Yarrowia lipolytica: one gene and its partners. The protein of the gene in region 2 binds, or shares a complex with, the protein of the main gene of each other region. Links are inferred from orthologs where the notes say so. Each region holds a gene or a part of one and is shown on either strand. Other genes may lie near its edges. The genes, in order: YALI1_D28213g, YALI1_D10033g, YALI1_C28063g and YALI1_D14276g.

What was found.
Region 1: YALI1_D10033g (region 2) and YALI1_D28213g share a complex: the UniProt entries of both Saccharomyces cerevisiae proteins name them as parts of the RNA polymerase III (Pol III) complex. The link is inferred for Yarrowia lipolytica from reciprocal best matches to the Saccharomyces cerevisiae genes RPC31 and RPC11.
Region 3: YALI1_D10033g (region 2) and YALI1_C28063g share a complex: the UniProt entries of both Saccharomyces cerevisiae proteins name them as parts of the RNA polymerase III (Pol III) complex. The link is inferred for Yarrowia lipolytica from reciprocal best matches to the Saccharomyces cerevisiae genes RPC31 and RPC10.
Region 4: YALI1_D10033g (region 2) and YALI1_D14276g share a complex: the UniProt entries of both Saccharomyces cerevisiae proteins name them as parts of the RNA polymerase III (Pol III) complex. The link is inferred for Yarrowia lipolytica from reciprocal best matches to the Saccharomyces cerevisiae genes RPC31 and RPC25.

The regions. Positions count from the first base shown.
Region 1 is NC_090773.1:2,820,474-2,823,567, reverse strand, and holds YALI1_D28213g (uncharacterized protein), read left to right. Parts: upstream 1-1,802; coding exon 1,803-1,841; intron 1,842-2,296; coding exon 2,297-2,590; downstream 2,591-3,094. Other genes in the region: YALI1_D28221g (uncharacterized protein), read right to left, coding at 1-1,482. UniProt on the Saccharomyces cerevisiae protein: DNA-dependent RNA polymerase catalyzes the transcription of DNA into RNA using the four ribonucleoside triphosphates as substrates. Component of RNA polymerase III which synthesizes small RNAs, such as 5S rRNA and tRNAs.
Region 2 is NC_090773.1:1,001,689-1,004,578, reverse strand, and holds YALI1_D10033g (uncharacterized protein), read right to left. Parts: upstream 1,210-2,890; coding exon 511-1,209; downstream 1-510. Other genes in the region: YALI1_D10067g (uncharacterized protein), read left to right, coding at 1-131; YALI1_D10022g (uncharacterized protein), read right to left, coding at 1,868-2,281. UniProt on the Saccharomyces cerevisiae protein: DNA-dependent RNA polymerase catalyzes the transcription of DNA into RNA using the four ribonucleoside triphosphates as substrates. Specific peripheric component of RNA polymerase III which synthesizes small RNAs, such as 5S rRNA and tRNAs.
Region 3 is NC_090772.1:2,804,487-2,807,079, reverse strand, and holds YALI1_C28063g (uncharacterized protein), read right to left. Parts: upstream 769-2,593; coding exon 517-768; downstream 1-516. UniProt on the Saccharomyces cerevisiae protein: DNA-dependent RNA polymerases catalyze the transcription of DNA into RNA using the four ribonucleoside triphosphates as substrates.
Region 4 is NC_090773.1:1,425,688-1,428,775, forward strand, and holds YALI1_D14276g (uncharacterized protein), read left to right. Parts: upstream 1-1,968; coding exon 1,969-2,577; downstream 2,578-3,088. Other genes in the region: YALI1_D14260g (uncharacterized protein), read right to left, coding at 1-386; YALI1_D14300g (uncharacterized protein), read right to left, coding at 3,042-3,088. UniProt on the Saccharomyces cerevisiae protein: DNA-dependent RNA polymerase catalyzes the transcription of DNA into RNA using the four ribonucleoside triphosphates as substrates. Specific peripheric component of RNA polymerase III which synthesizes small RNAs, such as 5S rRNA and tRNA.

The DNA of each region.
Region 1 (3,094 bases), about 1.8 Mb from region 2:
AAAGGGAATGTACAGCTTTTTCATGCCCATCTTGTCGTCAAATGCAACCACCATCTTATGGTCCATAAACTCCTTGAGTTTCTCCTGGAAATCCTTCTTGTTAGAAACCGTCAACTCGTTAAGACACTCCGTCAACACCTTGTCATAATCCACAGAAATGGACGTACTTCCTGTCAGAGCACCCACCTCGGCCTCAGGCAGCTTTCTCTTGTCAGCCACATTGTGAAACTCCTCCAGCTGACAGTAAATGAGGTTCTTGTAGAGACTTCGATGGTTCGGAGTGACCGACTCAAGTACATACTTGACACCCTTGGCACCCTGGGCCTCAGCCTTCTTACCAAGCAAAAGCGGATCGTCAAACGACGTTTCAACCGTGTAGGGAGCAAACGTGGTCACATCATGCCACACAAAATTGTACGAGGCCAGCTTGGCAGAGTCCCACATCAAAGGAGCCATAATATGATCGACAGATGCAACAAACCAGATTTGAGAAATACTCATGAGCTGAGACAGATGAGTAGACGCCTTGTCGATCCGCAACGACTCGCCATCAACATTGTGACACAAGACCACCAACGACGGCTTTGAACCAGCTTCAATATCTCGCATAGTGTCAACCACCAGTTTCACCAAGAGATCCACATCCTTGGGCAGTTTGTTTCGTACCACAAAGCCCTTTTTCGCAAAGATGTCCTCATGATTCTCGTAGAGAACGTCCACCACGCTGTTGAGCACCGACTTGAACTGGACAGACGCATTGTATCCGTTGATGACAAGAATGGGGATTTCCGAGTCCACTTTTTCGCACACAAAGTCAGTCAGTAACTCCCTCTTGCTTCCCAGACCATAAAACAGCAACGAAAACCCTTCCGAAAGCTCGAAAATCCATTGCGAGAACATTCCGCGGTAAGCATGCCGCAGCATCTTCTTCTGGTCGGCATGAAACAGCTCATTGGCCTGGTTTGTGTACTTAAAGAAGACGGAGTGGTCGATGGCAGGCGCCTTGGCCATGGTGTTGGCGTTACCTCGTCCTCGGGTCTTGTGTTGGTCAAAGTATCCCTCTGAAGAGTCCAGGAACAGAACGCGGTCTTCAGCCGCAATCAGGGCACCCACGTTGGCCAGCGACCGTTCGTCGGTGTGGAAGTCGTTGGACGAGTCGAGAATCGGAGCCCGGCTCTCTCCAATGATCCGTTCAGCCAGCTCAATTTCATCTTCGTCTTCGCTCACCAGTCCCAGAGACTGATCCAGTAGTGTTCTGTTGGCCTTTTTTCGCGCCGATTTGTCGTGGAGCGACCGTTTCACCGGTGACGGCGTTCCCGGTGCCTTTCGAGGCGACGCCGTCCTTCTCGGCGTCTGTTTTCTCGGACTCGTGGTCTTTCTTCTCTTGGGTGTGCTCACCTCGTCTTCAACCTCAAAGTCCTCATCGCTGACGTCACTGGTGTCCAGTCCGGAATACGAAACTGGTGCTTTTCTTCTGCTCATGTGATGAATGGTACAACTAGTCGGTGCGGGCGCCGTCTGGGGTTTGTCGCCTCTGCGGTATGTATGTCGTCCAGTGGTGATGCTCTAACGGTCAGATTAAAAAGGAACCGATAAACAATCTCTTGGTGAACTCGAACCCCGGTGCTGGATAAGTGTCGCCGTCTCGTCGCTCTAGTGCGCCGTATTGTATTGTAATGGTGGTGACAATCACTGATCAAAACTCAGAGGTGCATGAGAAACGCCCACCACCATTTTTATATTTTGAATTTCAGACTTTTTTATTTGGTTTTTCACACCAGCACAGACGACACAAACACAGGATGCTAACGTTTTGTCCCACTTGTACAAACATGTTGACGGTGAGTAGGACGGGGGGATATTGAGGGCGGTTGCTGAGTCAGGATTGGGCCAGGAACGACCAGATCATAGGTCGCGTGGATGAAGGCGAGATGAGACGAGACGAGAAGCGAAAGGCGAAAGGCGAAAGGCGAGGGGCGAGAGGCGAGAGAGGGTGAGGTGTCAGAAATCATTTGAAACTTCTTTATCACTAGTTATGTGCAATTCTACTCTTCTCTTACGGTTTTTTGCAGATCAATGAAGTGGCTAGTCATCGACCACACCCGAGAGAAGAGGTTGCCGAGTTCGATCTAGGTTGAGATTTGTCTAAAAGTATTTGTGTGCGCATCTACCGTCCGCTTTTCTCCTTCACCGCATCTACCATGTCCCCATCTCGTGACTGATCTCGTTGCTGATCCCGTTACACACTCCACTTAAGCATGCTGAATCACCATTGACACTCCATATACTAACTCAGCTGTCGACCAGCGGAAACGGCATGCGGTTCGAGTGCCGGACATGTCCCTACGAGTACTACTTGCAGGACGGCACCATCGTGTATGACCGAAAGGTCCTGGAAAAGAAGAAGGTGGACAGTGTTCTCGGTGGAGAGAACGCCTGGGAGAACGTCGACAAGGACCCTGGCTCGCAGTGTCCCAAGTGTTCCAACATGGGTGCTTACTTCTACATGTTGCAGATTCGGTCTGCGGATGAGCCCATGACCAAGTTTTGCAGATGTACGGCCTGTTTCCACCAGTGGAGAGAAAACTAGTGAGCTTAGACGTGCCAAACACGTTATGGGAAGGATAGAATGCATGTAATATATTTATGATTGATTGTCTGAGTGTAGAGAGTGACTGAAGACCTGGAACCGATCGATGGAGGTGTCAACAGAAGGGAAAGCCCAGCCTGCGATTATAAACAAACTCCGGGCTCGGTAACAAACACTTCACTTCTTGTCCTGTGTCCCTGAGAGTCTCCAAGTCTTCAGCAGAGGAGAAGTCGTTTGAGATTCATTCGTTAACAGAGGTTCACTCGGATGTTACTGGCCGTACTGTACATACTGTAGGGATGTTGCCAGATCTACCCAAGTTCAGTATCGTATCGGGAGAGCTAAACGCTCATTTTGCCCAAGTGGTTCGCTCCAGTGGTTCGCTCCATCATCATTTCTCTGTCAAATGACTTGGAGTCATTTCAGAACGCCTTGCTCACGCTCTGGTCAAGCCCCCAGAATACCCATGCCCAGTTTGCCGTCCAAAACCTCAAGAAAGCTGGC
Region 2 (2,890 bases):
AGGTGAGTCGACCTCCTCCTCCTCAGGAAATGTATCGCAAGCCCCAGCTGCCTCCCAAGATTCCTCTCGGCATGACTCGAGATGAGTACTACGTAGCCGAGCCGGAGTATGATGGCTACCAGGGCTATTAAGCCAACTCATTACACACACACACACACACACACACACACACACACACACATTACACACTCAAGTGTCTCACATAACACGTGCTTTACACGTACTCATATTTGTATAGATAATCTACAGAACTTATTGTGTGGGCCGTACAGGTAGCTACGTTCTAGTTGGTTTATATACGGGTGGCTAAAGTAGACAACGCGTTGAGTATCGTAGCAATGCGTCTGTTCTAGTATAACGAGAAGCAGTGTACCAATGCTGTAGATACTGCTTTAGCTATAGATACTGCTCTCTCTCGCTACGTCGAAAGTGAAATACTCATCTTCAATTAATAATCTATAAAACAGGGGGCGTATTTTGTAGTTTTTTGGGTCTGGTTCAGTTCAGATCCTAAAAGTTGGCCTCGTCGTCATCTCCATCATCATCATCTTCATCACCGTTATCGAAGTATCCCTCAGCATTGTAATCGTTATCATCTTCGTCATCGTAGACATCATCTTCAATCTCCTCCTCCTCAGAATCAGCTGCCTCCTGGCCCAGACGAGCCTCCAGCTCCTTGTCATCCACCATGGTCAGGGCCTGCTGGGCCTTGAGACGTGCCTCCAGCTCCACAGGCGACAGATCGGCTTCGTCCGCCTGGATCAGCGAGTTGGCAAACTTGGAAATACCCGCTCGACGACGCTTAACATCCTCTCCAGCCTCCTTCTTTGCTCCCATGGCCTCGTGAAGCTCCTGGGGGAACAGCTCCAGAATATACGGATGCTCATCTATCGACCGACCGACCTTTCGCTTCTTTCTGTACCGATCCGTGTATCGTCTGATGCCGTCATCACACGCATCGTCTACCTCGATGAGTATCCGTGACGCCTTTTTCTGTCCGTTCGGCCCCGTCTTGACCTCCACTGAGCCTGTGTACAGAGGTCCGTCTCTGACTTCAGCCTGGAACTTATAAAACTGTGCAGCCACCTCTCGCTCCGATGCGCTGGGTGGATCCTGAAGAGGCACGTTGGCCGGAGGGTATAGATCTGTGGGGACCATAGGACCAGTCTCGATTCCGAGCTGGTACATGGCTGGGCGTCTGAATGACATGCTGTGGTGTGTGATTAAAGGAAGCTGTGGTGTGGTTTAGAGCGAATCAAGTGATGATCGATCGCGTTTGTATGTTGCTGACGTGGTTGATGGTGTGTTTTTTTTTCTCTCTCTCGACTTGTTTGCCCTCTTTTGACACTCCCCAAAGTCGACCTTGCCTCAGATGGAAATAATTTTAGATTGGGAAAAAAATTGGACCTCGAAATGCATGCATGATAAGTTTAATGGTGTGAGTGCACACTGGACAGAGTGGAAGTCAAGTGGAGGGATGTGGATAGAATGGGCCATGGAAGAGGGGAAAGGGAACGGGATGGATGGATGGATGTGTTCCGAGGGCCCTTTGTAGGTAACCGACACCCCGAAAACCCCTATTGTGCCTTTCTACATGCTACATTCCTGCTTAGTCAAAATCATAACATTGCCATAGTATGTACAAGTACCTACAATACGATACTCGTGCAAAATACAACCAACACGATGTCTATACAAATATATTACTGAAATGTCAAGGGTACTGTTTTTATGGTTGGTGGAAGATGGTGTTTTTGAAGAGGTCTTACCGGGTTCTCCAGCTAGTGTAAGAGAACACGTCAGGTATCTCCTTGTATAAGAGGTCGAGTCCATTCATTTCCATTAACATCGCTCATGGACTCGATATTTACTCCTTCTTGTCGAAAATGTGGGCTTCCTCCTCGGGAACCAACAAATCGGCAATCTCCTCGTCACTCTCGTTGACCAGCTCCATCTCCTCCTGCTTGTCGATGGCAGACTGGAGCACCTTCTTCTGCTTGTTGGCTCGGGATCGAGCAGCGGTTCCCCAGCCAGATCCGGATCCAGAGGCGATACTGGAGGCCACCTTCTCATCTTCAGGTTCCTCGAGCTCGCCCTTGGCTCGGGCAGCTCGCGTCTTCTCCAGCTCTTCTCGCTCCCGCTTGATCATCTGCTTGGTCTGGTAGTTCTTCACCATTCCCATGATCCGCGGTCGCAGAAGAATGTAGCCGGCCACAATGATGAGGAACCGGATGTAGTCTGTGGTCGTGTAGTTGTTGAAAAATGTGATTTGGTTGAGCATGGTGTTGTTGGGGGACAAGTCAGGATGCGATATTTCTTTCACGATGCAGAGCGTAACCTATGTACGAAATCTAGGTTTTGGCGTTGTCCGTGTTTTTTTGCGTCGGATTTATCGGATTTACCACGAGTGTCGGACGAAATGTAGTTGGGGGTGAAGTTGCAGAAAAACAGACTGCTAATGTTGTTTTCCCGTGTCTACACTATTGATTCCACTTTTGTACAGCCCGAAATCTCCATTATTCGCAGACATAGACGGTGGATTATGGCATTCTCACCGTCTTGTTATGGACCTCTCTACAGGTACAGTACTGTAAATTAGACGTGAAACACTGCTACCAGTATCTAAACATCCTAATAACTGCTCAAGGTCAAAAGACAACATCGGAGCAACTAACTGAAACAGAGGCGACACTGGCTTCCTGACTGCCAGAAAAGAAAAGAAAACCAACACACCCTCCCTCTTATCATACTACAGGTACAAATACAACGTACTCGTACCGGTACTCGCATAGCACAACTCACCCAACTCATGCACCAGTTTTTTTCATCAACGTCGCATAAATCCGATGTGGGGTAGGGTCCACTCGATGAATGATATAGACGAGGTGGT
Region 3 (2,593 bases), on a different chromosome or scaffold from region 2:
CTGCACACTGGGTTTGGAGCACTATCCATGGTCCAGAAGAAACATTATAGGTCACTCTTGCTGTCGCCACGGATGACCTACAACTTTTCGACCTTATCCACGTATCGCTTCACTGGAATTTGTTGTCTGAACGGAACTGTTGAATCTGCTGCATCAAACCAACATCCAGATCCAGTAGCTACGTTTCCATCACTTTTCATGATGCTGCCCTTCAGCCCTCAACCACGGATTCGTCCGTGGCCCATATTCTGTCCTGTGTCGATTCGTAATGTTTCATATCTCCAAATAAGCCCATCACCCCATAAACGAATCGTTGAGTCCAATCTCTTCCTGTCGATTCTTCACTGCCACCTGTGACGCTTCTCCTTCATCACACTCTCCGTGTCACGCGCAGTGTATCCCCTCTTCACTCTCTCTCTCATGACACACTGTGACCCAGCTTGCCACCATCACACCATCAAACGCTGGAGGTAGCACCCACCGCGACGTCGCCACGGCATCTATAGCACACCCGCTTTACTCACCAGTGTAGTTGGCCCGCTCCTTGTACAAAACTCGATGACCGCATTCCTTGCATCGAACTGGATCGCCTCGGATGAGAACCACCTTGGACGAACAGTTGGCACACAGGTACTTGACGGCGTACGACTTGTTGTTGGCCACTCCGGAGGCGGAGGCAGACAGGTTCTGCGAATCAAGCGAAGGAGAAAACGATTCCTTGTTCATGTTGTGTTGCAAAGTTGAAGATGGAGGCGAAAATTCCTGCATACAAAATTAAAATATTTTGACAAGGTTTGTTACTAAGCATAGACTGTGAGCGGTAGGCGTAAGCTGTGCGAGAGGTGGAGCAAAGGACAAGATTGAAGTTATTTCGCGCAGTGAGATTTATTTGCGATATCCATGCTTTTGGTCACGTAATTACTCGTTGGATTATGTAATCAAAGATATCTCGTTCACGATTGTTGATTTGGAGGTGTATATTGAATGGAAGGTTAAGATTTTGAGACGTTAATGAGAACTTAAGAAAGAGCATCAAACGAGTTTGAGAGCATTTTGTGATGAGTGGAGGATTTCATATAGGTTACGAGCTGGAAAATATTCGTTTTCGCGAGCTATTTTCAGTGAATGCGGCTGAATTCAGCGAGTTCGAGTGTTATAAAATAAAGTTTAGAATTGTGTGAAATAAAAAGGAGAGACCGTTAATAGTGTGCTTCTGATCAGTATACTTTCTGGTACAGCATCTGATCTGATATCATATCATTTCAGATAGACCATTGAGTGCTACAAGGATCATATTGGTGTTAATCGAAGAGGTAGAAAAGTTGATACGATACACTAGACGAAACTATTCGAGTTTGTGTACAACATGCGACTTTCATCGTCACCCCATGGCCACCTTCATAGCACAACGGCTAAGAAGGTGAACATGGGATGTCTGCGAAGGTAAATATGGGATGTCTGCGAAGGTGAATATTGGATATCTGAGATTTCGCAAGACTCCTTGTTTTAAAGGGGAAAGGCTAGTGCAATGTTTCGTCCTGAAGACGCTCGGGATGTTCATACGAGGACCTCAGACGCAATAGCCCCTACGCAGTGGGTCTCAAACAAGACATTTCCTTCAGCTGTCGCTACCGCAGGGCAATCAAAAGCTGCGATAAGAGCGAGCCCCCTGTCTCTCCATCTCATCTCGAACGTACAGTAGGGTAGCTGTATGTACTTCAGCTGTGCCGTTTCTGAGAAATTTACATCATTCAGCTGCGCAGAATGAGATGGATTTGAAGTGTGCTGCTGCCGACAAAAAGGGAGCGGAAGAATCACTAGTATCTTGCTGGGCTTCACGTACCGCGGGGAGCTCGACAACTGTCTGCAGCGACTCATGGCTGAGCGAGGAAAACGACAAGCCAAGCGTCAGGCTATGGAGAATGAGTTTTCGTCCAACATCAATAAGATGGCCAAGGGAGTGGAAAACCTGCGTCAGGAGGCGTCCATCATCCAGCAGATGATGTCTGGATCGGCTCCTTCACTCAACCACTCTACCTCCCATCCTCACATGGATGTTAACCCGTCTACTTATTACTCTTCCTCTGTTTCCTTGCCCATGTTCCGGGGTGATTGAAAGGAGGGTTAGGAACGTTTTGTTTGTTTGCTTGCTTGCTTGTATGTATCTATGTATATAATGTATTTGATTGTATGTTAATGGTCCGGGGCGAGGTGGGATTAGTGAAAGGGTCCATTAAAGGGTGAGCCTGAAGATGGAGTAGGAGCTTCAGCAGACTCTGCATCTTCATTCGAGGGTAAAAGGAGAGTCATATACATGAGTGGAGCAAAAGACAGTTAAGTCAGGGTAAAAATCACACCGGGTTAAGTTTTTACCGCAATGTTCCCCCCAGCAGCATTATTCCATATGTAGATCCTCAACCTCCTCTTTCTTCAGCTCTGTGAAGAGCTTCGTGACTCCAGTGTCCAAAGTTATCAAGAACCAAGGACAGTGTCGGGCAGGGTCCGGTAATGAGGTAAGGATGGGTGTAAAAGAGGTTTACTGTAATATCCCCAAAAAAAATCACCTACAGTACTGTACTTTGTAATGAGCTTT
Region 4 (3,088 bases), about 420 kb from region 2:
ACAACACAATCGTACTCGTGGTCGACGACGGCGTACTTGGACGCCACGTGGGAGGGGGCCTCCTGGGCCTTGACGGGGCCGTTGGCGAAGACCTTGGCCACCACCGGGGAGGTGGAGAAGTGACGAGACTTGAGAACGGCTCGGGGGTTTTTGATAGCTCTAAGCATTTCTGTGTTAGTTGTGTTGTGGGGTTTTCTGCAGGCGTTGTGGGGTGGAGAGGTGTTTTGCGTATTCCGGTAGGTAGAGAATAGTTGTCTGGATGATTTACTGCAGAGTGGTCCGCAGTGACTGTATATAGTGGTTGTGGTATCAGAGGGTGTGTTGTGGGGATAGACTGTGAGAGCATCGGCGGTTGACAGACTGAAATTTTCAAGACAGTCTGACATTCAGAGTATCCCAGCAACTGGGTGAAAGAAGCAACACCGGTCAGGTTCGCGTGTACCTTTAAGCATTGGTTCTTGTTTCACTGAACTCGTGTCTGTACCACTTGCTCTCATTCACACCTCACATATCCACATGTCACACTGAATGTGTTGTCTAACATACCACGAGAGAACCACCAAACCATGGCACCGACAGAAGAGTGGACCATAAGAATGATGCTGCGAAGCATAGGCTCCGTTGTCATCGTCACGCCAACGCACTTGTGATAACCTCTCTCCTTCACGCTTGCCAACATGCTCGCCACGCGTACAGCCAAACAAGCTGCTGGGTGTCCCACTTCTCCTTTTGCCGAACGAAAAACCTGTTGCACTGAGAGATACCGGGCAAGACCGTCCACATCGTGGGTACGAATGGCTGCCGTCAATGTGCCTCGAAGCGCCCCGTCCTCCGCCGCGCAATTTGCTACTCACCGACTCAGATCGACTTGTATGGTCTAACCAAAAAGAGAGAGAGAAATAATCTGCGTGCGGCCAGTTGAAAGCCCACCGAGCTTAGGTAATGCGGGCCATTGGCCAATGACATGCGACCTAATACTCACCAAACAAAGTTTGGACACGTCCGGGATGAACCGGATCAAGATTCGCGGTGTTTAATTGGCGGGTTCGGCAAGACGAAGACGTGGAGAATCCGAATTAATTTATTCACATACTTTATGGGATACTTTTCCAACTCGCCAGGTGTCACAATCTTGACGGTAGCCCCACGAAACCTCTGGGGTATGACCACACCCATTCGCACCATGTCCTATTGGGCTAGGCTTAACCCCCGTAAGGTTTTCCGGAGAATTATTGTGGGGAATGACGGAGACACTTTTTAGCAGCAACCCCTAAGGAAAGGAAGTGCAATACGAGTGCCAACGCGGCGGTTGTGAGGGTTGCGGGCGTTCCTCCAGCTTACGTAATTGCTTCTTCTGCCCGTCTCACAGTACCGGTACGATCCCCGTTACAATCACAGGCTTAGAACACCTAAAATACGACTGCTGGGTGACCATGCCTCTTCAACGACTTGGGGGCGATCCTACTGTCGGGCTGTGGTTGACGTTTTTTTGTTGGTCGGTCGACATATCGGCCCGGGTTAGGGTAGTGTATAAATGGCACTAGAGCTGCTCGTATCCTCCGCCTCGTCGACGGGTGTCATGGCCAATTGCGTTGGGTTTAATTACCTTGGGAGTGGCCTGGGTTTTTTTTTTTTTTTTTTTTTTTTTTTTTTTTCTTGTGTGTTTTGTCAGTACAGTATGTGTGAATATTCGAAATTAAGGTGCTAAGGTGTCCGAATGGAGAAGAGCGGTTATCTCCGTATTTCTAGGAGGTTATTCCGCTTTGGGAATTTGTACGTTTGTCCTTATTAGGGGTGACTATCGTGGGCACTGCTGGTACCGACTCTTACTAAGCGACATTGGGAGTTGTGTAGAAAAAGTGAAGATGTGGTTAGGGATATGCAGTGCGATGCAGACCTTAAAAAATATCCAGCTACACCGTGCAACTATCATCAAGATTGTCTCTGAGTTGGGTCTCATCCATCGCAATGTTCATTCTCACGCGCTTCACAGATCTCATTCGACTCGATCCCACCAGCTTCAAAAAGCCGCTCAACGACGCTATTGTGGACGAGATTAACAACTGCTACGCTAACAAAATCATCGACGGAGTGGGTCTGTGCATCTGTGTCTATGACCTGATCACTGTCGGCGAAGGCCAGGTCATGTCCGGCGACGGTGCTGCATTTGTGAAAATCACCTTCAGAATGGTGGTTTTCCGGCCGTTTGTGGGAGAGGTACTAGAGGGCTGGATCTCCAGCTGTACCGCGGAAGGAATCAAGGTGAAGATGGAGTTCTTCGACGACATTTTTATCCCCGCACACCTGCTGTTTGAAAACTCGCAGTTTGTCGCCCGAGAACAGGCCTGGATGTGGTGTCCTGACGAGGAGCAGGAGCTGTTTTTGGATACCAACGAAAAGATCCGGTTCCGAATCGAACAAGAAAAGTTCCAGGACCTGCCTCCACTCAAGCAGGGCTACGCTGGAAGTGCTGCTCCTAACGACGAGCAGGACCCCGAGAAGCCAGGTGTTCCTCCTTACTCTCTGATTGCCAGTTGCCAGGGAGAAGGCATGGGTCTGGTGTCTTGGTGGGAGTAATCAACAGAACCATGTTCCTTCAGGTACATCTTGGTTGACGGTTGGAGGAGGATATATATATGCATTATTAGGTGTTCCGGACAGCACTCTGTATTCCGGGCACACTCTTGTGCTCCTTGGAGTATGGACACAAGGCAAACAAAAACAAACAAGCAAACGCAAAGAAAAGGACTGATTATGAAATAGGACTGCTAAGAAGCAGTGGGGTTTTATATAGATAGACAAAGTCACAAATCGCATTTTTATACAACATCAGGAATTACGTATCATCGACCTCTATCAATGTACTTGCGGCCAGTTACCTCGAGTGACGAGATGGTCAACCGCTCAAAAACGATTGAGGATAAGCATTACATACAAGTCTACGTTGTCTGTTACAGCACAAAGCGCGTCTCTCTACTCATTGGTACAAGTGCTTGTACCATTATCATAACATCATCTATTATTACCTCTATCTTCACAGACTAGTTGTACTGCATGTACTGAGAAGTACTGCTAAACTTGAGGTTAC